Linked DNA regions of Saccharomyces cerevisiae S288C. The main gene of each other region encodes a partner of the protein of the gene in region 3 in a complex. Each region holds a gene or a part of one and is shown on either strand. Other genes may lie near its edges. A codon is read from its position in the direction of its gene.

Region 1 (5,854 bases), on a different chromosome or scaffold from region 3:
ACACCTGTAACGTCGACGACAGCAAGTGCTTCTGTGACGGATACAGGCGCCTCTCAACACCTGTCTAATGTTAAACCAGGACAGAATACTGAAGTCAAACCTTTAGTGAAACACGTTTTATCCAAAGAATTACAGATTTATTTCAATAAGGTCATTTCAACCTTGACAGCGAAGAGTCAAGCTGATGAAGCTGCACAGCATATGAAACAAGCAGCTTTGACTTCACTACGAACTGATAGTGGCCTGCACCAACTGGTTCCATATTTTATTCAATTTATTGCCGAACAAATCACACAAAATCTTTCCGATTTACAATTGCTAACAACAATTTTGGAAATGATTTACTCTTTACTAAGCAATACTTCTATTTTCCTGGACCCTTATATTCATTCGTTAATGCCTTCCATTTTAACCTTGCTATTAGCAAAAAAACTTGGTGGATCACCAAAAGATGATTCGCCGCAAGAAATTCATGAATTTTTAGAAAGAACGAATGCACTACGTGATTTTGCCGCATCTTTGTTGGACTATGTATTGAAAAAATTTCCTCAAGCATACAAATCCCTGAAGCCAAGAGTAACTAGGACACTGCTAAAGACATTTTTGGACATAAACCGTGTTTTTGGGACTTACTATGGGTGCTTAAAGGGTGTATCGGTACTAGAAGGTGAATCCATCAGATTCTTCTTAGGAAACCTAAATAATTGGGCGCGCTTGGTATTCAATGAAAGCGGAATAACTCTAGACAATATAGAGGAACATTTGAACGATGACTCCAATCCAACTAGGACCAAATTTACTAAAGAAGAAACTCAAATCTTGGTTGATACTGTAATTAGTGCATTGTTAGTTCTAAAAAAGGATTTACCAGATTTGTACGAGGGTAAAGGTGAAAAAGTTACGGATGAGGATAAGGAAAAATTGCTAGAGAGGTGTGGTGTCACTATTGGATTTCACATTTTGAAAAGAGACGACGCAAAAGAATTAATTAGTGCGATATTTTTTGGCGAATAGTGAGAATCGGTTTATACTAATAGTACAACGGTAATGTTATATAACAGTTTTTACATACGCCATTGTATGTATATATATATATATGCATGATGAGTTATTTAATTGTATACTCAAAGGCCCCCGAAGTGCGAAATTGTTGTAGCTTAGTTTTATTTTATTCCCTTTTCGTCCAAGAAAAGCTACAAAGATGGAGTTGGGTCAACTACTTGCCAGCGAAGGTGGTCTCGCAGTTTCTTATTCTATGTGGATTCTGGAGCAAATAAACGTCTTCTTACTCTCCTTTTTGAGCTATTTTCCGGGGGCTTATTAGTGGGAGTAGAGGTAATATTGGAGGTATTTTTTCTGCCTTCATGCGTATCATCATCCTTGAAATTTAGCGGCGATTCAATGATGCTTTGAAGTTGCGCCTTTTTATTAGGTGTCACAGTTCTTTTTTTCACAGCAGGAGTGGCTTGAACTTGTACGTTTTCCTCAGAGTCTACACGTTCATGTAGGCGTATCGTTTCATTGATATCTTTACGTTTCCCAACTCTGCGAAAAGAGTTATTCATAGTTTTGTATGCATTAATAGTTGAGTGCGAGAAAGGCGTTTTGAGTGTGATAGTTGATGAATTCGGTACTCTTGTTGTGCTTAAGTCAGAGACAGAAAACTGCCGTTTTTGTAAATGATTCATCGTTAGATCAGACTTCGTCCTTCCCAATTGTGAAGGGCGCTTTAAGCTTCTAGTTTCACTTTCGAGAAATTCATTCAAGTTAGAGTTCGTTCTAGAATTCAAAAGTTCAGGGGTGGGCGAAGCTATAGATTTTCTGCTGAACAAATTAGCGTCCACCCTTCTCAATGCGGGTGAAGATGGGACGGAATTAATGATTGAAGAGCGAGAGGCACGTTGACTCGTGGATAACCTGTTATACGTTTCTACAGTATTAGGTGACGATACATTTGTGCTATCGTTGACCTTTTTCAGGGCTCTCTTTGGTCTCATGCTTGGTCCCTTGAGCTTTTGAATTATAAATTCAACGGCGTGTGGTACCTTTTTGTTGAAATATGGAATAAGAACATAATTTATGAACCCAACCAATGAGGCTTCTTTGCTTTTGTCTAGGATATTTTTTTTATGCTCTTGTATTGTTCCATTTGATGCTTCTATGGCATCTGGGTTGGGCGTTTCACTTGATAGTAGAATGTCCAAGATGCATGCTCTATCTAAGTACAAGTCTAACTGTTCACAATAATCCAAAGATGTTGTTATTCTCTCGATTCCTTTGTCTTTTTCGCTGGTTTTTTTCTTCGATCTTCGACGAACTAATCCCTTTTTTGTCAAATTAAGTGATCTTTTCTTCAATTTTAATTTATACTTTTTCTCAAAATCTCTAAAATTCCAATCTAAATCGTTCAATCCTATTATCTCTAATAGCAATAATATTTGTAGCTTTATTTCGCGGGATTTTAATACAACACATAAATCAGCAATGGTTGAGCTGTTTTTGTTTTCATCTTGGATAACAAATTTTGTGAGACAGTTCTTCCTTTTTTCATCTGCTATGGGACTAGAAAAGGGCTCTAATAAAAGCCTGTTATCATGTCTATCTTTGAATTGTACAATTGAGAGAAGAAATTTTTGCAGCATGGCTTGATAGGCTATTTTGTAACTGTCACTTCCGTACTTGGTTCGGCAGGTATTTTTGAGCCTTACTAAATTTGACTTGACGAAATATGCGAGAGGCGTATGTATGGAAAAAAGAGCATCATAATACTTACTTTCTATGTACTCTTTAGGGTCTGAATAGTAGTCATTAATTTTTGATTCGCCTTTCATATCTGGGGGATTCATATCCAGTTTAAGGTCTTTGTCCTTCTCAAGCTTACACGAGCCCTTGGGTTCTTCTGACCATAAATGAAGAAGCTCTTTAAATTTCAATTCGTCCCATGTTTTTAACGTTTCACGCTTAGCTCTTTCTCTTTCAACTGTCGTTACAACTTCCGTACGCCTTTCTGGTAAGCTGTAACCATTGAAATAATTGTACGGCCACTTAACCCAAAATCCTGGCCCATATTCCTCTAGTAGAAAATACTCTTTTCTTGATTTCATGCAGATGTGTTTCAATTGACGTCGATTCTTCTGTTGCAGTAATTGGAGAATGTTACTGGGCACGTCCTCGGATTTAATAATAAGTGGATGATCTAAGCTCAAGTCAAGGCCTTTTGTTGCTTCTTTTACCGATGCTATGACTTCCCATGTTTCCATTATGAGAGGTCAGATCGTTCCTACCTATACGATCTTAACCCTTCAGCAGTTATGAATGAGGCTTCTGCCTGTTTTAACAGTGCCCATCACTTTTTTTTATTTTTCTTAAATGGACCATGTTGTACACCAAGATAGCCGATATTTCAAGGTCGCGTATAATATAACATTTTGCCTAGGATTTTTGTCACCTAGAAATATATATACAGGGAAATCTAAGACATCGAATTATGTGATGAGTAAATAATTTAAAATTTGTAAACTTTGTAAATTCTTTATTAGTAAAATATTATATACCTAATAGTGAGGGACATTTAAGCAGATGAAGAGCATGTTTATTACGCTAAAGATACCTTCACCTAAGACCAACCCCGAACTGAATACAATCATTTTTGTTTTCGCATTTAAGTCACCCCTATGATTCTTCAACCAAAAATGCGAAGCCCACCCGCCGATGAATCTTGCAATTGTAAAACTGGGAGAATTAAATATACCAACACCGACTGCTACACCAGACGGAATATATAATATCCACCCGTATCCGTAATCTCTATAAGTGTTTCTGATTAATGATAAAACGGCAAATATGACTCCGAGAATCATGGAGCACTCCAAGGCCTTATCAGGGAGCCCTTTACCAGTTACTAGTCTTGCACAATCTATCCACACTACTGCTGTCGGTATCCTGAATTGCTCACTCGGAATTGAATAAACTTTATTGTAGCACAAATACATGAAGCTAGACAAAATAATTGACCAACAGGCCCCTATCAATTGGGCACAGAACTGAGCTCTTGGGGAGGCGCCGAGGAGGTGCCCCGTTTTCAAATCCTGCATTAAATCGCCCGCCTGTTGGGCAGAGGCTTCTGCAATACCTCCCGATACCACGTTCATTAACACTGATCCAGGTCTATCCCTTGGTATGATAAAGGCAAAAATCAATTGAGAGATCTTACCAATGCCGCTCACAGGATTCAGATCGGTCTCTCCAAGTGCTCGAATACCGAGAATAGATAGAAACAACGCAAGTATCAAAGCAGTGATAATAGCATATAGGGGAATTACTTGTATCCCAAACAAATATATTATGGAAACAATGCATATTATCGAGGAGACTAGACATCCACTGATAACGGTGGTATAGCGAACCAAATGCTTCGAATCTACTTCTATTTCGTTATCTCTACTCACTAATCTTACGGTGTCCTGCCTTCCATCAACATATGTATTTCTTCTGCTGCTATTAATGGCGCGTTCCTCCTCCAGTAACATAGATTGAAATGTATCATCGATTATGTTGTTCAGTAAAGCAGCTTTGTCATCTATAAGAATAAATTTCACAATGGACTTCACTGTCACAACAATAAAAGCGACTACACTGTCAGCAACCATTATTGAAAGCGACGACCAAAGAATCCATCCTTGCACTCCCTCCTCCCAGTCGTGGACATCAGCATCTGGTGGTACCCATCTTTTGTATCTCGCCAATGGTGCTAACACACCCCAGCCTAAGAAGCACCCGATAAGCATATACGATACTGTTGGAAGACCCATTATTATCCCTTGGCCTATATACGCAGGCGACGGCTGAAAATTCCAGAGATAATTGTTCGAGAGGTATTTTCCGAAGACTGGAATAGACCGTATTACCGGTACAAAATATGACACCATGGTGTAAAGCGAAGAAACAACAAAAGTTTTCAATAAAATAATAATATTCGCTCTGTAGTTCTCAGAGCCAGTAGAAAGGATAGAACTTCCATCTTGGCTAGTTGCCGTATAATCACCAAGTTCGCTATGAGAAGAGTTCATTAAATAATCCGCCTCCTCTGGATCTCTGTTGGGTTGTAGCACTTCAGGGCATTCATTCAATCTCCTCTGCCTCATTTCCAATAACTCTGACTTAGAAACCTCTTGTAAAATCTCAGTTCCATTTAGCACTGAAATTAAAGTGGCCGTGGCGCTACCACTGGGGAAGGGAAGTTTCTCTCTAACAATTACTTGCTTTCTTAGAGGAACTGCAAAAAAAATACCGAAGAATGCTAGGGCTGTGGACCATATTAACAATTCTCTAAAAGTGAAGGACTGTCCTTGTTCCCTTAATCCACCACTTTCGTCGTTAGTAAGGAACTTCTCGATGGCAGGTATGACGCCGACAAACCCAAAGGCTAATGGGCCTGTTCCGACAGCTACTGCCATACTTTGTACGTATACATTTTCAACGTCACTGAAAGGCCTGTCGTTCGGAAATATTAATGGCCAGATATTTTTAAAGAAAGCACAAGCTAACAATGCCGATGGCAGGGACATCATGGAAACCCAACCGGTTTGCAGGCCAAATTGAAAATTTGATGTTAGCACCAGAGACCCTATAGCGATACCTGCTATGGTTGCTCGGAGTGTTATCTGCTTCAAAGCAGGTTTATTATCCCATGGTACACGCTGTACTTCTTGACTTGGAGTAGATTGAGGCATTTCAAAGTATTTACAGTACCGATTTAGAATCTTTAACGGTTAGTCCTCTATACTGTGACTCTTTTTCTTCCTATCTTGGTGCGAAAATAAAAAAAATGATGCCTTGAGATAGATCTCACGAA
Region 2 (4,216 bases), on a different chromosome or scaffold from region 3:
TTGGTACCGTAGTATTGTCATTACTTTTAGAATTGGACAGAAGAAACTCAATATCATCCTGGTATTTTATTGTATCTCCCATATTTTTTAATTCGTTGTAGTGATTTGTTGAAGTTAATCCTTCTTTTTCAGCATTACTGTTGTCAGCGTTATTTAGGGACAAGGTGTTAGCTTTCTGATCTACCTCTTCTCCCATTATTTCATTTTCTTTATTTTTGTTTATTAATATTGTTCTAAATTTGCCATATTTTTTGTCTTTGGATGTGCGTATGCTATTATTCTCTATAGAGTCGTCCATCTTCATCTCATTTTCAAGCATTTTATTCAGTATATCATCGTCAGCTCTCGGTAGCTTCAATATGAATTCATTGATGTCATTGTATATTTTCCTTATTGATTCAAATTCATTGTGCATTGTAATGCTGTCTTCATCTTGTACGTCTGGTTCAATTGAAGACGTTATGTTCGCATCATGCTTTTGGTAAGTTCTTCTTCTTTTTCTCTTAGATGCCTTTGAACCATCAAGGAAATTAAAGGCACTTAACTTTTCATCTTTCATAAATGCCATTGAGGTATCACTGCTAGTGATAATTTTGACGTTTTGGTCATTCCTTTTTGAGTCCAGTTGTGAAGAGGGCTTCTCATTTGCACCATCAAATGACGACGAGCTGTCCTGAGCCTTTCTAGGCTCGTCCAATAATCCCTCTATCGGGTGGTCTGCAATACTGCTCGAAATGGTAGAACTTACATCAGGAATCACGGAGTTTACATCGTCATCACTAAATTCAACATCGGAAGAAGATGGCAAGCCTTTATTAGATCTAAAAGGAGTTCTGAGAACTGGGCCCCTCTTTCCATATGCTCTCATTTTTTCAGAAACAGGATGCTTTAGGGTAAGAAGATGGTTTCGTTTTGCGATAGTTTCTCTGCGCAGTTTTTCATTATTATAATAAAGTGAAGCTTCGTCATCAATAAAGTCGCGTAAAGCTCAGAAAGCCTCCTCAACCAAAACTTACGAAATCTATTAAAAAGGGCTGAAGTAAACATAGAAGGGAGTAAATTAGAATGGAGGTATGTATCTTGCTTTATAAAGGATTATATATCATGAAGACCAGCTTGAAAGCATTTTATCATATCTTCTGCAAATAACCTTGTTGAATCAAACGCTCTACATCAGACTGCCTTACGAAAAACTGGGAGTCTTTAATAAGGTTAAACACGCCGTATTCAGTTTGAATCTCACCAGCATCTTTGAGCACTCTAACATCAATAAATACATCGCTCGGAGGCACTAAAGAGCCGGATAAATCAATATCGACCAAGTCACCACTTTTTAAATCAGTAATTAAATCGCAGTATTCTTTCAAATATTCCTGCTCTTGATGAGAAAGGTTATTTGTGTCTTGTTGGCTAAACGTAATGCTACTCATCAAGTCCAGACCATTATTATTCCAAGCCATAGAATCTAGTATGTCTGTTCTCAACCTTTGGTATGCTAAGAGACATCTCTTGTTCCTTTCCATACATAACAAGGTAACGAAATACTGGCATTTAGCCACCTTATCATCTAGCATTCCTAGTTGCTGCTGTTCTTTAAGATATTCCGTATTTTTACGTAAATTTGAAACTTCTTTCAGAATATTTCGTATTATATCTTCATGATACATGGGTAAATTAACATCTTGATTACTTCTTGCGTACAGCTGTTTTGTTCTTTTAGCTTCTAATACTAATTTATTACCTAAATCTCCATACATGATTCTCTGTGAGCATGGCCGTTTATAAACGATTTTCCCTCACATCTATTTTTCAGCTTTCTTCGTTAGTTATTTTAAATTACAATTTTCGCGTTGTAACGACAAGAAGGTTTTGAGCAAATCTGACGTTTCGACTTTAAAGAAAACAAAAAGGTTTGATTAAAGACTAGTAACAAAGATATTTAAATTAAAGTTAAAGATCTATACTATAAATTCTAGTCATGCTTCAAGGTTTCGGCGAAAACAGCAGCTGGCTTGGTACCAGTCTTTTCAGCCTTCTTGGAACCTAGCTTTTCAGCAGCAAAGACCTTGGCGTAAGGGTTCAATCTCAACAAAACTTGCTTGTTCTTCAATGGGTTCTTCTTCAAAACGTGAGTACGCTTTTGAGTAGCTTGGCCAGCTGGTCTGATAGCAGATTGGATTTCAGAAGAGTTGATAATTCTGGTGACATCAGAAGTGGAGATGATGTGGGATGGCAAAGTGTAACCGACCTTGGAGGAGGCAACGGTTTCGGAACCCCAGACTTGGTCCAACTTGGTGAAAGCAGCTTCGGTCCAGATAACGAATCTACCCAAGTGAGCACCTGGAGCCAATTGCAACAAGTTCAAAGAAGCAACGTTGGCAGTTTCAACACCTGGAACGTTTCTCAAGGCCTTGACGATACCGTTGTCTTCAGCGTAGACAACTAATGGACCTCTTCTTTGAGTCCATCTTCTGTTTCTGTACTTACCCTTACCGGCTCTCAATTTCTTGGACTTCAAGACCTTCAACAAGTCGGAGTGAGCACCAACAGCCTTCAAAGCAGCAACAGCTTCCTTGGTCTTTTGAATAGATTCCAAGTCAGTGGAGACAACCAATGGGATTTCTGGAATCTTTTCGACTCTGTGACCTCTGGCCAAGACCAAAGAAGCAACAGCAGTAGCAGCAATAGCAGAAGCAGTGGCGTAACGCTTTTCGTTGTGGTTAACCTTAACGTTCCACTTTCTCCAGGTCTTAGTTGGAGCAAACATACGACCACCACGACACATGTTACCGAAGGCACCTTGACCGGATCTACCGGTACCACCACCACCAACTCTTGGAATACGAGCGACGGCACGACCGGTACCCCAGGATTCAGCGGAGGTTTGGTGACCAGCCTTTTCAGAAACAGCGTAAGCTTGTCTCTTGTTCTTGTTCACAGAGGTGAAAACAGTGTGGACAATGTCAGGACGGATAGGAGCGGAGAAGACAGCTGGCAATGGCAAGGCATTGGCAGTAGCTTCACCAGTCAAAGAGTGAACAGTAACTTGTGGACGGGACATTATTATTGGTATATACCCTAGTAAATGACTATGAATATGTAAGCGATTGCTGATAGGAAAGAAATATTATTTTCAATAATAATAGTAGTGTAACGTATTCATGATCTTCATGAAAACTTTTCCAGAGTACTTGAAAAAAAAAAAATGTTAAAAAAATTGCGTCTGCGCGATGCTTTCGTAAATAATTATATTTCTAACGGAATAGACAATTCATGCCTTCAGTGCAGTTCTTAGCAATATGCGCAGTTGTTTTATAATTCAGATACGCTGAGGAAAGCGCTTCTAAATTGTTATTTTCCCATTTGTTCCAATCTATCAAAACTAACGTTATCTATATTCAAAAATTCCTGTAAGATGAATACCGTTACGATAAATAAGGCAGGACTTACGGAACATGTAGGGTCCGGATAAGGGTTGCTTTATTGCGAAATGTTCTTATAGTGCAACCCTTAATAGAGTTATGAAAACTTTTCATAAAACAGAAAATTTTTATCACTCTTTTCAACCAAGCTGTCGAATGAACTATGCAGAAAAAAAGAATAATAAAAAATTACAATTTGGTAATTGGGAGAGGTCGCTGCATGCACTTCTTAAGACAAAAATAAGTTTACTCATTTTCTAAGTTGGTCAGCTGTAATCTATCGTGGTCATTTCTTGTTCTCACTTCTTTCGAATATTATTTCTGAAAAATACTGCTGCAATATAGTATATGTTGTTCAATCACAAAGCTCCAGGGTATGACTTGCCACAATAGTGATTTGCAAATATAAGCAGACATTAGTGGGCAAGTTAACCGTTTAGCAACACTATTGTTTCTACTGGATGTCTTTCCTTTGAGTAATATAGAATGACCTTCCTAAATAGAATAAGACACAGAAACTGTGGTATGGAGGCTGTTGTTTTCCTGTGTCCAATTTTTTTATTTTCTTTTGTCTAAAGAAGGGACAGGACAGGTAAGGGTTGACAGGCCAGATAATTTACCAAGTTTTGTTAATCATATGAAAGGGATATAAAAATGAAACAAAATAGAAAAAATGTAGAAACACTAAATTTGAAGTTCAATTTTGGTGACCAGTTTGAGGAGCCTCAGTTTTTTTGTCTTATTCTTTTCGTTTAGCTTGTACTTGCAACACCTTGCTTAGATCGTAATCCAAT
Region 3 (5,595 bases):
TTCACATCACGGTTCAAGATGACAAGCAAATGCTATATCTTTGGAATAATGGATTTTTTGGCACTGGTCAATTTAGCAGGAGTGAGCCTACATGGAAAGCTAGAACAGAGGCCAGACTGGGTCTCAATGATACTCCCCTCCACAATCGGGGAGGAACAAAGAGTAATACTGAAACGGAGATGACTTTAGAGAAGGTCACACAACAGAGGAGATTACAAAGATTAGAGTTCAAGAAAGAACGTGCGAAGTTAGAAAGAGAATTACTAGAATTAAGAAAAAAAGGTGGTCATATCGATGAGGAAAACATCCTCCTTGAGAAACAACGAGAATCATTAAGAAAATTTAAACTAAAACAAACAGAAGACGTGGGCATCGTTGCACAACAGCAAGACATTTCCGAATCAAATTTAAGAGATGAAGACAACAATCTTCTTGATGAGAACGGTGATCTTTTGCCACTAGAGTCACTAGAACTAATGCCAGTGGAAGCTATGTTTTTAACTTTTGCACTTCCTGTTCTTGACATATCTCCCGCGTGCCTGGCAGGGAAACTGTTTCAATTCGATGCCAAATATAAAGATATTCACTCCTTTGTCAGATCATACGTTATATACCATCACTACAGATCACACGGTTGGTGCGTAAGATCTGGTATAAAATTCGGCTGCGATTATTTATTATATAAGAGAGGGCCACCATTTCAACACGCTGAATTTTGTGTTATGGGTCTTGACCACGACGTCTCTAAAGATTATACGTGGTATTCTAGCATAGCCCGTGTTGTGGGCGGCGCAAAGAAGACGTTTGTGTTATGCTACGTGGAGAGACTAATCTCGGAACAGGAGGCGATAGCACTATGGAAATCAAACAACTTTACTAAATTGTTCAATAGTTTTCAAGTTGGTGAAGTATTGTATAAGAGATGGGTTCCCGGAAGAAATAGAGACTAGAATATCAATGAGAAGATAAATCCTTCGTATGTATATATGTATGTGTATGTATTTTTTATACAGATTTCAATGGTTTTTGTAAGCATCTGATACCCATCCACAATCCCTAAACCCCTTGTTCTTTGCTTTGGGGCCCTTGACAGGGTCATCATATATTGCTCTAAACTTTTCATTGTGTGTGGCTGGTTTGGATATGCAAACAAATTTATTATCAGGAAGGACACATTTCAACTGAGATTTAGGGAAGGGACAAGGACAGTCTTTCTGCTGTGCAACGCACGTTAGGGTGTCCGGACACAAATACCCATCACAAGGGTTATTTAAAACTTGATCTTCATATGATTGTTGCTGTTGCTGTTGCTGTTGCTGATGATGACCGAAATTGAAGAAGGCATTCACTCCAGTGCTGCCAAAAATAAACAATGCAAAGATGAGAACGATACTCCAGCGACTTTGACTCATACTACAGTAAAATTTGGTCGTTTTTTGCCTGGCAAACCATGCCTATTTTTCGTCATTAAAGGTCTTCTGAGCTTTCATCAAAATTATCTCTATAATTATAAAGGACAGCTCAGAGCCACACCCAAACATCTGCAAAGGTAAAGGCCATCTTTCATCTCACATTGCCTAACAAGAAAGTCACATTGCAATTGTTTCGAGAAGAAAACATTAATTCAATTACGTGGTTCCCATGCGTCTGTGTTAAGCGTCAATTTATCATTTGACGAACTCGTTGCAACCACAAACAAAGCAAGGGCCGCATTTATCAAAGGAAAACCAACCAAAAGCATAAATAAACGAGATTTTTATTATGAAAAAGCCATGCGAATCCTACTAGAATAAATTCAAAGTGAAGACATTTAGTCAATTCGATCTTCTCTCTCTTGCTTTAACTAGTCGTAAAACCTAATAAGTTTCATTCACGACGCGTATTTTTTTTTCAACATATCATCTAACGCGTTTTAAGAAATTTCAGTAAATAATGAAGCTGTAGTAATGCCAACAATCCATTGTGGCTACTTTATACAACGCACTATAGAGCAATAAAAGTGTAGCAATAAACACTAGAGAGAAGGCACATAATAACAAGAATATACTCTCGCACATGTATTATGGAATCAGCCAGTTTAGCGAAGCCTACAACAAAATCTTAAGGAATTCATCGTCTCATTCATCATGTCAATTGGTCATTTTCGTTTCTTGTCTTAACATCGATGCGCTGTGTGCGACGAAGATGTTGTCACTATTATTCAAAAAACAATTGGTACAATCTCAAATAGTACCGATATTTGGGTACTCTGAATTACGACGCCACTATTCTCAATTGGATGACAATATAAATAGTCTGCTATTAGTAGGGTTTGGAGGCGTTATTGATCTGGAGGCTTTCTTAGAAATCGATCCCCAAGAGTATGTTATCGATACAGATGAAAAGTCGGGGGAACAAAGTTTCAGGAGAGACATCTACGTGTTGGATGCTCATAGACCGTGGAATCTCGACAATATATTTGGATCACAAATCATCCAATGTTTTGACGACGGTACGGTGGATGACACATTAGGCGAACAAAAAGAAGCATACTATAAATTGCTTGAACTGGACGAGGAGAGTGGTGACGATGAGCTCTCAGGTGACGAGAACGATAATAATGGGGGTGACGATGAGGCAACTGATGCCGATGAAGTCACAGACGAGGACGAAGAAGACGAAGATGAGACAATATCTAATAAAAGAGGTAATTCTTCAATAGGACCGAATGATCTCTCAAAAAGAAAGCAACGAAAGAAGCAAATCCATGAATATGAAGGTGTTTTGGAGGAATACTATTCTCAAGGCACAACAGTGGTTAACTCGATATCTGCACAAATCTATTCATTATTGTCTGCTATCGGAGAAACAAATCTTTCAAACCTGTGGTTGAATATACTTGGTACGACCTCGTTAGATATAGCATATGCTCAAGTTTACAATCGATTATACCCCTTATTGCAAGATGAAGTGAAGCGTCTCACACCAAGCAGTAGAAACTCAGTAAAGACCCCTGATACATTGACGTTAAACATCCAACCGGATTACTACCTTTTCTTACTGAGGCATTCTTCATTGTACGACAGTTTTTATTATTCTAACTATGTCAATGCCAAACTATCCCTATGGAATGAAAATGGGAAAAAGAGATTGCATAAGATGTTTGCTAGAATGGGTATACCATTAAGTACTGCACAAGAAACATGGTTATACATGGATCATTCTATTAAGAGAGAACTTGGGATAATATTTGACAAAAATTTGGATCGTTATGGGTTGCAAGATATAATTAGAGATGGGTTTGTTAGAACTCTTGGATATCGTGGGTCCATAAGTGCCAGTGAATTTGTCGAAGCACTAACAGCTCTTTTGGAAGTAGGTAATTCAACTGATAAGGATAGTGTGAAAATAAATAATGACAATAATGACGATACAGATGGAGAGGAAGAAGAAGATAACAGCGCTCAAAAATTGACGAATTTGAGAAAAAGATGGGTTTCGAATTTTTGGCTCAGTTGGGATGCTCTAGATGACAGAAAGGTGGAACTATTAAACCGTGGCATTCAACTAGCACAAGACTTACAGAGAGCAATTTTTAATACCGGGGTTGCTATATTGGAGAAGAAATTAATCAAGCATTTAAGAATTTATAGATTATGCGTCTTACAAGACGGACCCGATTTAGACTTGTACAGAAACCCATTGACGTTATTAAGATTAGGAAATTGGCTCATAGAATGCTGTGCGGAATCTGAAGACAAGCAATTGTTGCCCATGGTGCTTGCCAGCATAGATGAAAATACGGACACTTACTTGGTTGCTGGGTTAACACCTAGGTATCCTCGCGGACTAGACACGATACACACAAAAAAACCTATTTTGAATAATTTCAGCATGGCGTTTCAACAAATAACTGCAGAAACGGATGCTAAAGTGAGAATAGATAATTTTGAAAGTTCCATAATTGAAATACGTCGTGAAGATCTTTCACCATTCCTGGAGAAGCTGACCTTGAGTGGATTGTTATAATCAAATTTATATTATTTAGTCGTACATATATACCAGCATATGAATATAAAATCTAAGCTTTTTCAAGCTTTTAAGTCCAACTTTTCTATAATAATACCATATTTTGTGCGCGGCTCTTGACAAAACAAAAAAAAAAACCTAAATAAAAGGAAATTAAGAACAGGGAACTAGGTTTGGAAGGACAAATTCAGGAAGGAAAGAAATAGCTGTGACAAAGTAAGATGAACCAAAATGGTGATAAGAACGAAGGCAAGTTGTTTCAACTACCGTCATTGCCGCCCTGGAAAACACCAAGGTTCAACAAAGCCAACTTTAACAATTTTACCACACCGCTACGGAAAAGGTCGACAAGGGTAATAAATGATGATTCGATGCCCATAACAGGCGAAGTACTAGAGGAGAGGACTGCAGATGATCTCTATGGGATAAATATGGACGTAGACGAAGTCGACTATCTGAATACTTTGAGCCACATCGAGGAAGAAAAGCAATACGATTATTCACCGTTTTGTGAGCGCAATACGCTAAGGGAAAGTAGAATTGACAGTTTTTTGAAAGCCGAAAGGGCAGCACATTGTCTTGTGTTTCATAAGGTGGGCCATCTAGACGGCATAGACAGCTATCGACCCGATATTGACATCATGTGCGGCGAAGAGGCTAATAAATATGACAGTGCGAATCCGGAGGGCAATGGTTCAATGTTGTTAGAGAGTGTACCTGGATGCAACAAAGAAGACCTGGAGAGGTTATCAAGGCGAGAATTTGTAACAAATTCGAAACCTAATATGAGACGGTTGGATGACATAATAAATCATGAAACGAACGCCTTAAAAAGTTTCTGGAACGACTCAGGATTAGTCAATTCACTCCAAAGTCATCATTTGCATGAAGAGTACCTTCTTTTGCAAGAAGAATTAAAGAATGTGTACAAGATTAAATGCCATGACAGAGTGCCAATAGAAAGTCTACGCGATAAGTGCAGAAGACACTATAGCAACGAGGATAGTTCGTTTCTCTGACAGAGGCAATGCCTTTTTTGCTTCACGTGTATATATATCAGTTGATATGCGTTTTCTATACAGACATACATGTATATACACACATATATATATATACATATGTACGCAGAGATATATTAAATGGGGGTTCTAGTTTCAACAATTTGATCTTTCAGTTTCTCGTCCCATTCCAGTTTCTTCTTCTGTATATAAGCGAAGACATCAGACATTCCAGTAGGGTCTATTTCCTGCGTCTTGATATATGGCATACCATCCCTAGAGGTAGCAGAACCGTATTTTACGTCTTGTTTCTCAAAGTTTGGATTGGCCAATCTAGTTACGTATACTGGGGCATTGGCAGCTTTATAACCATCAATATTGTGCCATGGAGACCCCAACAGCCTGGCCAAATAGAACAAGCATAGCATGCCGAAATAGGTGAAAAAATTCAAATATTCGGAGAAGGAATGGCTTGTAAATATGCCCGGTTGAACTACATACTGATTTATGCCCAGCTTTTTCAAGTCTTTGTAGGTGGCCAAATGCAGTAAATCAACTAAACGCTTGGAGCCCTCATAAGAGGCATTTG
Region 4 (6,045 bases), 350 kb from region 3:
TGGAACAATTTGGTATCAAGTCCTGTATTTTAAACAGCGAGCTACCCGTTAATTCGAGGCAACATATTGTTGACCAATTCAATAAAAACGTTTACCAACTATTGATTGCCACAGATGACACCGAGTACATAAAAGAGGAAGATGACGAAATAGAAGAAGGGCACAATACAGAAAATCAAGAAGAAAAAAGCTTGGAAGGCGAGCCTGAGAACGATAAGAAACCAAGCAAGAAAAAGAAGGTCCAAGTGAAGAAAGATAAGGAATATGGTGTTTCTCGTGGTGTTGATTTCAAAAATGTTGCATGTGTCCTCAATTTCGATTTACCTACGACGGCTAAGTCCTACGTGCATAGAGTAGGTAGAACTGCTCGTGGCGGAAAGACCGGTACTGCAATTTCATTCGTAGTCCCACTGAAAGAATTTGGTAAGCATAAGCCATCAATGCTACAGACAGCAAAGAAGGATGAAAGGATTCTTTCACGAATCATCAAACAACAGAGCAAACTTGGATTAGAATTACAGCCTTACAAATTCGATCAAAAGCAGGTCGAGGCGTTCCGTTACAGAATGGAAGACGGTTTCCGTGCTGTTACTCAAGTTGCCATTAGAGAAGCTAGGGTCAAAGAGTTGAAACAAGAACTATTGGCAAGTGAGAAGTTGAAAAGACATTTTGAGGAGAATCCAAAAGAGCTACAAAGTTTAAGACACGATAAAGAATTACATCCAGCAAGAGTGCAACAGCATTTAAAGCGTGTTCCAGATTACTTGCTTCCTGAATCAGCCAGAGGAAATGGAACCAAAGTCAAGTTTGTTCCTTTCCACAATGCTAAGAAGCGCCATTCACATAAAAAGGGAAGAGTCAGTAAGCCAAAGAATGGTAAAGTAGACCCGTTGAAGAACTTCAAATGATTAATAATATTGATATTTATTCTATATTTTATGTAAAAATCTACTTATTAAAAATGCTCTTTAGTTAAATGTGATAATATAGATGCTTTATTCGTTTTCTTGAATATAATACTTTCGCAAGAGCTAGAAAATCAGCCAATAATAATTGGTCTTACTTCCAAAATAAAAAAAGGCTTTCCGCTGACTGTAAAGTTTCTTACGATGATTTGCTTTCCTTGTTGATTGAGGGCTGCTTGTCTTACTTTTTACTCAACAGGGGTTTTTAACACAACGATAACTGAATCACCTCTTAAGAATAGTTTACTTATGAATCTTTCCCGATTAATTACATTTTTGCCCTTCTTCTCTGTCCAAAGCTCCTTCACATTTTCTAAAACCATATTACAATGCCTGTCGAAAGCTTTCACTCTCGCTATTATTTTATGATTGTTTCTTAATGAGATTATCACAGGTGTTCTTGTCACCATAGCATCATTTATCAGGGACATTGGACCATGTTTGAATTCAAATTCTTCTAGTTCCTCTAATTCTGCTCTAGAGAGTTCATGTTTTGGACGATCAATTATTTGTGAACTGGAAAGATACAAATCAATTACTTTTAAGTTAGTATATAAAAATTCACTCCAAATTATAGGATGTAAAAATGGTTAAGATCAAACATACGACATGATAAAACGGTTTTATAATACTCCTCTAATCAACTGTCAAAGGCGGGGCAAACGTGATGGCGCTTGCTATTAAGAATGATGATGTTCTAGTGATGATGTTCTTGTCATACCTTTTGAGTAAGATAATTTTCATTTGGTAGTATTACCCGTAGTAATATCACGATAGGACAAATTGGTCCCCATAAAGTCACTTCAAGAGCTCATGTACTGTAGGATTGTTCAGTGGTAAATCGACCTCTATTTTCTAATTTCTTTCGTATGTCTTTGATTTCAATTTCTTTTTTAAGAAGCTTTGAATTATTTTGATTGACGGTCATATCAAGTCTGTGCGTTTATTATACAAAAAGAATATGAGACGCAGATGAAACCTCAAAAAGTATAATTTCGTTTACAGAATTTATATAGAAATATAATAATGAAGTATTTGTAGCGAATTTTTTAGATTCATTACATGCAAACAAGTAGAAAAGGCGTCAAGCTAAGACTTTATTGTTGTCATACACCACTTCTGTAAATATTCTGTCCCTGGTGTCTCAATTGAATTGTTTCATGCTTCTCTAGGGCATATAAGGCCTTATCCAGTGCTAATTGAGAAAATCTATGTGTATCTACAAATTCTCTCCTCAAAGTTTGATAAGAAGTAGACCAGCCTATAGGTAATCTTCTTTTTAGTTCTTGTTCAAAACGACGGATTTCTGACAAAGATGTTCCGCTTGCTTGATTTAAGCCGCCAATTGGATCCTGAGACGCTGCGTCCATTGTGGAAGCTTGAAACAATCTAATAGCTTCGTCAACATGTCTCTCCTGTGCAATAGGACTTAATTCTAACTTGGCTAATGATTCTGTTATTCTAATAATAGCTTCTAATTGACGAATGGTAATTGGAATAGACGACCTTTCCGTTGACTCTAATTCGTTGATTAATAATTGCTTCCTAATGGTGACGAAGTTCGATGACAGTTTTTCAGCGGCCTGCGGTGAAAGTCTTGGTGCACATTTCAATCTACAATACGTAATGTAACGTTTCATCTTTTCAATACTAATTTCACTGCCATTTTCCTCTTGTTGGTTTTGCATAGCATTAGCATTTCCTGTATGAATATTAATAACGTGGTTAGCTATTGAAATATCACGTTCTTCATTATGGTCATCCTTAACAATAAAAATCATATCAAAACGGGATAAAATAGTAGTTTGGAAATCAATGTTGTCACCAGGAGACTTCAAATCATCATACCGGCCGTATATCGGATTAGCAGCCGCTAAAACACTAGTTCTAGAATTTAGCACTGTAGTGATACCAGCTTTTGCGATGGAGATTGTTTGCTGCTCCATAGCTTCATGAATGGCCACTCTATCTTCATCTCTCATTTTATCGAATTCATCGATGCATACAACACCACCATCGGCAAGCACCATAGCACCACCTTCCAAATAAAATTCTCTTGTCATCGGATCTCTTTGTACACTGGCAGTTAACCCAGCTGCAGAAGATCCCTTACCAGATGTATATACCGCAATAGGTGACACTTTCTCCACAAATTTCAATAGTTGAGATTTGGCGGTACCTGGATCACCTAATAATAGTACATTGATATCACCTCTTAACCTCATACCATCGGGTAATATCTTCTTGGAACCACCCATCAATAAACATACAATGGCTTTTTTTATATCTTCATTACCAAAAATAGAGGGGGCAATAGAGTTGGTCAAAATTTCATAAAGCTTCGGGTTTCTACTTAGCTGTAGAAATTCCTCTTCTTCCTCCTCAGTAAACATAGTTACTGAATTCCAAATAGAGGAGGTTTCTACATCGGACTGAATACCTAATATTTTGATATAAGGTGTTCTAATAGCAACACCACTTCCTCCATTTCCACCCCCGCTCCTTCCGGATCCGGCACCATTTTTAGAATTATAGATGGAATAAATACCTACTATAGTGACTCTCGTACCAGGAATAACTTTGTTTGTTAGGTATCGGTCACAAGTCATTGTTAAGTTTCTAGGCATCTCACCTACTGGAACCAGTTCTGGGATTTCCTGTAATTTTAAAAACTGTTGATCAATAAACTTTGAAGACTCATGGATAATAATATATGGATCAGGTCCACAATTTTTCTTGGTCGATTCATCACCAATATTCGACTCGTTTGCCATAGAAGATTCACTCTCAATCGTAGATAAGCAAGAACGTGGTAAACTGACGGTATTGCCTGTGATAGAATTGAAATTGTTGATTGTTATTGATGTTGTGTGTCTGCAATTTCTGCACATTATAGAAAGGTACGTGGCACGGGAAGATAAAACTGACGTGGATATTATAATACCTGATAAACGGACAATCTTGGAGACGTGTTCAGAATCCAAATCTCTCAATGGAATCTGATTTGCATTGGAGTTTAAAATTAATTGAAATGTTGGTAAAGAGTTCAATAAGAGAGAATCAGTATCCATACTAGTATTTTCTGGATCTTTGTCATTGTTATTAGCAGATTGAGCTCTGCTTAGAATACTTATCCTTTTAGCCACTTGTGTGATCGCGGTTTCGAATAATGGAATGATATCTGAAGGTTCGTCTGATAGTTTCTTATATATGTCTTCGTTATATCCGATCAAATGCTCCATGTTAACCGTTAAAGAATAATTCTTCACAAGGATGTTGTTCCTTAACTGATCTCTGTAAATAAATTGCGAGTCAAGTCTGAACTCCAAAATGAAATTCTTAAAGGACTTTATGATTTCAGTATTATCATCGTCGTTAGGAGATTCTCCTTGTAAAACAGGAGCACTGTATATTTCCGGTCTATCAAATGACATTATCTGGCTTCTAATTCACCAAGGAGATACTCTTAGGTTGTTCTGATAAAACGTTTAATCACGTTAACAAGTATATTCATGTTCTTTCAATAAGTTGAAAAAATTCTTCGAGATTTCGCGAAACTGCAAGTAATCACTTTTCCTAAAAGGGAAACACGCCACACACCGCATAGCAACAAACTAAATGGCTTAACCTGGGAGTGAAGAGGAGGAGAAGAAAATTAAAGGCTGGCATAGGCGGCTTAGAATAAACTGATTTGAATCAATTGTTACGTTTTTGATATTGACAGTTTACTGCTGTTAGTTTGACTGCTCTATTACGCGTTTATTTGTTTTACATCCAGAGATAAGCGGGTAGAATAAAGGGCTCTTATTCACTAAATCTGGGGTAAGCAGTTTGGAATTTAATTGAATTTTTTACTAAGTCTGGAGTATAATCTGACAAATAAAGGCCGTATAATACTTCTATGCTCGTTTCTTTGACGCTTGTTATAAGGTCAATAATTTTACTCTTTGTTTTTACAAATGCCTTACAGCCATGGTAAGAAGCTTAAACCGTCTTTGAAACTCGCAAAAACAATCTCCACTTCTTCTTTTGTTTCCTCAACAACCTCTAATTCATTTTCACCACTAGAAGACTCTACATCTGCATCTTCGTCGACATCATCTTCATCATCAGGGAAATCGGTAAGGTTTGCTGCACATTTATACACAGTCAAAAAGTTCAACACAAAATTGGCGCCTATCTCGATATCAGAAAAAGCCGCTTCAAATCTTACAAGAAATTTGCATAACAATGCCATTCCACTAACGTTCCCCTTCATTGGAGGTGAAGATCATCGTTATAGTTTAGACATTTTAGATTACAGTGATTTAGAATATGACAATAAGGATGTTGAGTATGACAACGAGAGTGACGTAGAGGATAATGCAATGCTTATGCATGATCGTAGCATGTTCATTGAAAAGGAGATTCTCTGCTTTGGTGAAGAGGAGACATTCGATATGGCAGATTGGAAACTGGTCAGTAATAATTTGAATCCATTCAAAAGTGACTATAAAGTGGACGTTACTGGGTTGGAAGACAAGATTTTCAAATACTTAAATGGACAAAATATAAAGGTTCATTCATTAGAACTATCTGATCCTGTAAGCTACGAGGATATTTGTAGCAATAATTTTGGTAACTGTCAAATCTGGGGCCTTATATTTGTCAATAATTTGAACTTCGAGAAAAAAATAGAGATAAAATTTACTTTAAATAACTGGGCAGATATTCACTATATTAATGCACACTACAACAAGTCTGTCACCCCTCATGTTGACGAATTCAAATTTATTATTGATATATCTGCGTTGAAGTTAAATCTAATATCAAAAAACTTGATTTACACTAACTTTTTTGAAAGGAAAACTACTTGTCTCCTGAATTTGCAGTTCTGTTGTCGTTATGATGTAAATGGTTTCGAATATAGATCATTTTACGATAATAATGACTATAAAAACTATGAAATAACGATCTCTTTGTCAGCAATAAATCTAAATCGTGCGGTTTCGAATTCATCGATATTTAATTCCAATCTTGGGCCTTCCAAAATGGGGGCTAGCAATGCAGAGGTTACTATGTCGAAAAATAATGAAAATTC

Evidence for each region.
Region 1: the proteins of CDC45 (region 3) and SLD3 are in contact, whole or in part, in a crystal structure (PDB 8J09), measured with the Saccharomyces cerevisiae proteins. Residues at the interface, in NP_013204.1 of Saccharomyces cerevisiae: Glu234 (codon at 2,755), Leu237 (codon at 2,764), Glu238 (codon at 2,767), Glu239 (codon at 2,770), Tyr241 (codon at 2,776), Ser242 (codon at 2,779), Lys520 (codon at 3,613), His521 (codon at 3,616), Leu522 (codon at 3,619), Arg523 (codon at 3,622), Ile524 (codon at 3,625), Tyr525 (codon at 3,628), Leu527 (codon at 3,634), Val529 (codon at 3,640), Gln531 (codon at 3,646), Asp561 (codon at 3,736), Lys562 (codon at 3,739), Glu574 (codon at 3,775), Tyr579 (codon at 3,790), Ile601 (codon at 3,856), Leu602 (codon at 3,859), Asn604 (codon at 3,865), Met607 (codon at 3,874), Ala608 (codon at 3,877), Gln611 (codon at 3,886), Arg634 (codon at 3,955), Leu637 (codon at 3,964), Ser638 (codon at 3,967), Pro639 (codon at 3,970), Leu641 (codon at 3,976); in NP_011402.3 of Saccharomyces cerevisiae: Ile215 (codon at 2,618), Val216 (codon at 2,615), Lys219 (codon at 2,606), Lys267 (codon at 2,462), Phe294 (codon at 2,381), Glu295 (codon at 2,378), Tyr298 (codon at 2,369), Lys299 (codon at 2,366), Lys301 (codon at 2,360), Leu302 (codon at 2,357), Lys303 (codon at 2,354), Lys304 (codon at 2,351), Arg305 (codon at 2,348), Ser306 (codon at 2,345), Leu307 (codon at 2,342), Asn308 (codon at 2,339), Leu309 (codon at 2,336), Thr310 (codon at 2,333), Lys311 (codon at 2,330), Lys312 (codon at 2,327), Leu314 (codon at 2,321), Val315 (codon at 2,318), Glu341 (codon at 2,240), Asp344 (codon at 2,231), Leu345 (codon at 2,228), Asp348 (codon at 2,219), Arg349 (codon at 2,216), Cys351 (codon at 2,210), Ile352 (codon at 2,207), Ile355 (codon at 2,198).
Region 2: the proteins of CDC45 (region 3) and PSF1 are in contact, whole or in part, in a cryo-EM structure (PDB 3JC5), measured with the Saccharomyces cerevisiae proteins. Residues at the interface, in NP_013204.1 of Saccharomyces cerevisiae: Ser23 (codon at 2,122), Lys50 (codon at 2,203), Leu53 (codon at 2,212), Val54 (codon at 2,215), Gln55 (codon at 2,218), Ser56 (codon at 2,221), Gln57 (codon at 2,224), Ile58 (codon at 2,227), Val59 (codon at 2,230), Pro60 (codon at 2,233), His70 (codon at 2,263), Leu74 (codon at 2,275), Asp75 (codon at 2,278), Asp76 (codon at 2,281), Lys471 (codon at 3,466), Val474 (codon at 3,475), Ser475 (codon at 3,478), Trp478 (codon at 3,487), Trp481 (codon at 3,496); in NP_010296.3 of Saccharomyces cerevisiae: Phe162 (codon at 1,274), Asp164 (codon at 1,268), Arg166 (codon at 1,262), Glu173 (codon at 1,241), Tyr178 (codon at 1,226), Val180 (codon at 1,220), Phe181 (codon at 1,217), Asn182 (codon at 1,214), Leu183 (codon at 1,211), Ile184 (codon at 1,208), Asp186 (codon at 1,202), Ser187 (codon at 1,199), Gln188 (codon at 1,196), Phe189 (codon at 1,193), Phe190 (codon at 1,190), Val191 (codon at 1,187).
Region 4: the proteins of CDC45 (region 3) and MCM5 are in contact, whole or in part, in a cryo-EM structure (PDB 6PTO), measured with the Saccharomyces cerevisiae proteins. Residues at the interface, in NP_013204.1 of Saccharomyces cerevisiae: Lys311 (codon at 2,986), Pro313 (codon at 2,992), Tyr335 (codon at 3,058), Ile368 (codon at 3,157), Pro369 (codon at 3,160), Leu370 (codon at 3,163), Ser371 (codon at 3,166), Gln374 (codon at 3,175), Glu375 (codon at 3,178), Tyr379 (codon at 3,190), Tyr415 (codon at 3,298), Arg416 (codon at 3,301), Gly417 (codon at 3,304), Asn436 (codon at 3,361), Asp486 (codon at 3,511), Pro534 (codon at 3,655), Asp535 (codon at 3,658), Asp537 (codon at 3,664); in NP_013376.1 of Saccharomyces cerevisiae: Phe34 (codon at 4,300), Glu37 (codon at 4,291), Phe38 (codon at 4,288), Arg39 (codon at 4,285), Leu40 (codon at 4,282), Asp41 (codon at 4,279), Glu66 (codon at 4,204), His67 (codon at 4,201), Ile69 (codon at 4,195), Gly70 (codon at 4,192), Asn72 (codon at 4,186), Glu73 (codon at 4,183), Asp74 (codon at 4,180), Tyr76 (codon at 4,174), Lys77 (codon at 4,171), Ser141 (codon at 3,979), Asn142 (codon at 3,976), Ala143 (codon at 3,973), Asn144 (codon at 3,970), Gln145 (codon at 3,967), Ile146 (codon at 3,964), Ile159 (codon at 3,925), Val160 (codon at 3,922), Arg161 (codon at 3,919), Gly578 (codon at 2,668), Met583 (codon at 2,653), Gln587 (codon at 2,641), Asn590 (codon at 2,632).

The regions. Positions count from the first base shown.
Region 1 is NC_001139.9:293,338-299,191, reverse strand, and holds SLD3 (Sld3p), read right to left. Parts: upstream 3,261-5,854; coding exon 1,254-3,260; downstream 1-1,253. Other genes in the region: TATA-binding protein-associated factor TAF6, read left to right, coding at 1-1,014; YGL114W (uncharacterized protein), read right to left, coding at 3,555-5,732. UniProt on the Saccharomyces cerevisiae protein: Required for loading and maintenance of stable association of CDC45 with chromatin during initiation and elongation of DNA replication. Also involved in temporal regulation of origin firing. Required for the association of PSF1 with origins.
Region 2 is NC_001136.10:470,698-474,913, reverse strand, and holds PSF1 (DNA replication protein PSF1), read right to left. Parts: upstream 1,758-4,216; coding exon 1,131-1,757; downstream 1-1,130. Other genes in the region: RAD61 (Rad61p), read right to left, coding at 1-868; 60S ribosomal protein uL4 RPL4B, read right to left, coding at 1,973-3,061. UniProt on the Saccharomyces cerevisiae protein: Required for DNA replication. Functions as part of the GINS complex which plays an essential role in the initiation of DNA replication by binding to DNA replication origins and facilitating the assembly of the DNA replication machinery.
Region 3 is NC_001144.5:342,402-347,996, reverse strand, and holds CDC45 (DNA replication initiation factor CDC45), read left to right. Parts: upstream 1-2,055; coding exon 2,056-4,008; downstream 4,009-5,595. Other genes in the region: tRNA splicing endonuclease subunit SEN2, read left to right, coding at 1-950; LCL2 (Lcl2p), read right to left, coding at 1,017-1,412; APC9 (anaphase promoting complex subunit 9), read left to right, coding at 4,230-5,027; ERG27 (3-keto-steroid reductase), read right to left, coding at 5,144-5,595. UniProt on the Saccharomyces cerevisiae protein: Required for initiation of chromosomal DNA replication. Acts at the origin of replication. Also has a role in minichromosome maintenance.
Region 4 is NC_001144.5:689,909-695,953, reverse strand, and holds MCM5 (MCM DNA helicase complex subunit MCM5), read right to left. Parts: upstream 4,400-6,045; coding exon 2,072-4,399; downstream 1-2,071. Other genes in the region: DBP9 (ATP-dependent DNA/RNA helicase), read left to right, coding at 1-908; mRNA splicing protein SMD2, read right to left, coding at 1,154-1,481, 1,572-1,576; protein phosphatase regulator PIG1, read left to right, coding at 4,925-6,045. UniProt on the Saccharomyces cerevisiae protein: Acts as a component of the MCM2-7 complex (MCM complex) which is the putative replicative helicase essential for 'once per cell cycle' DNA replication initiation and elongation in eukaryotic cells.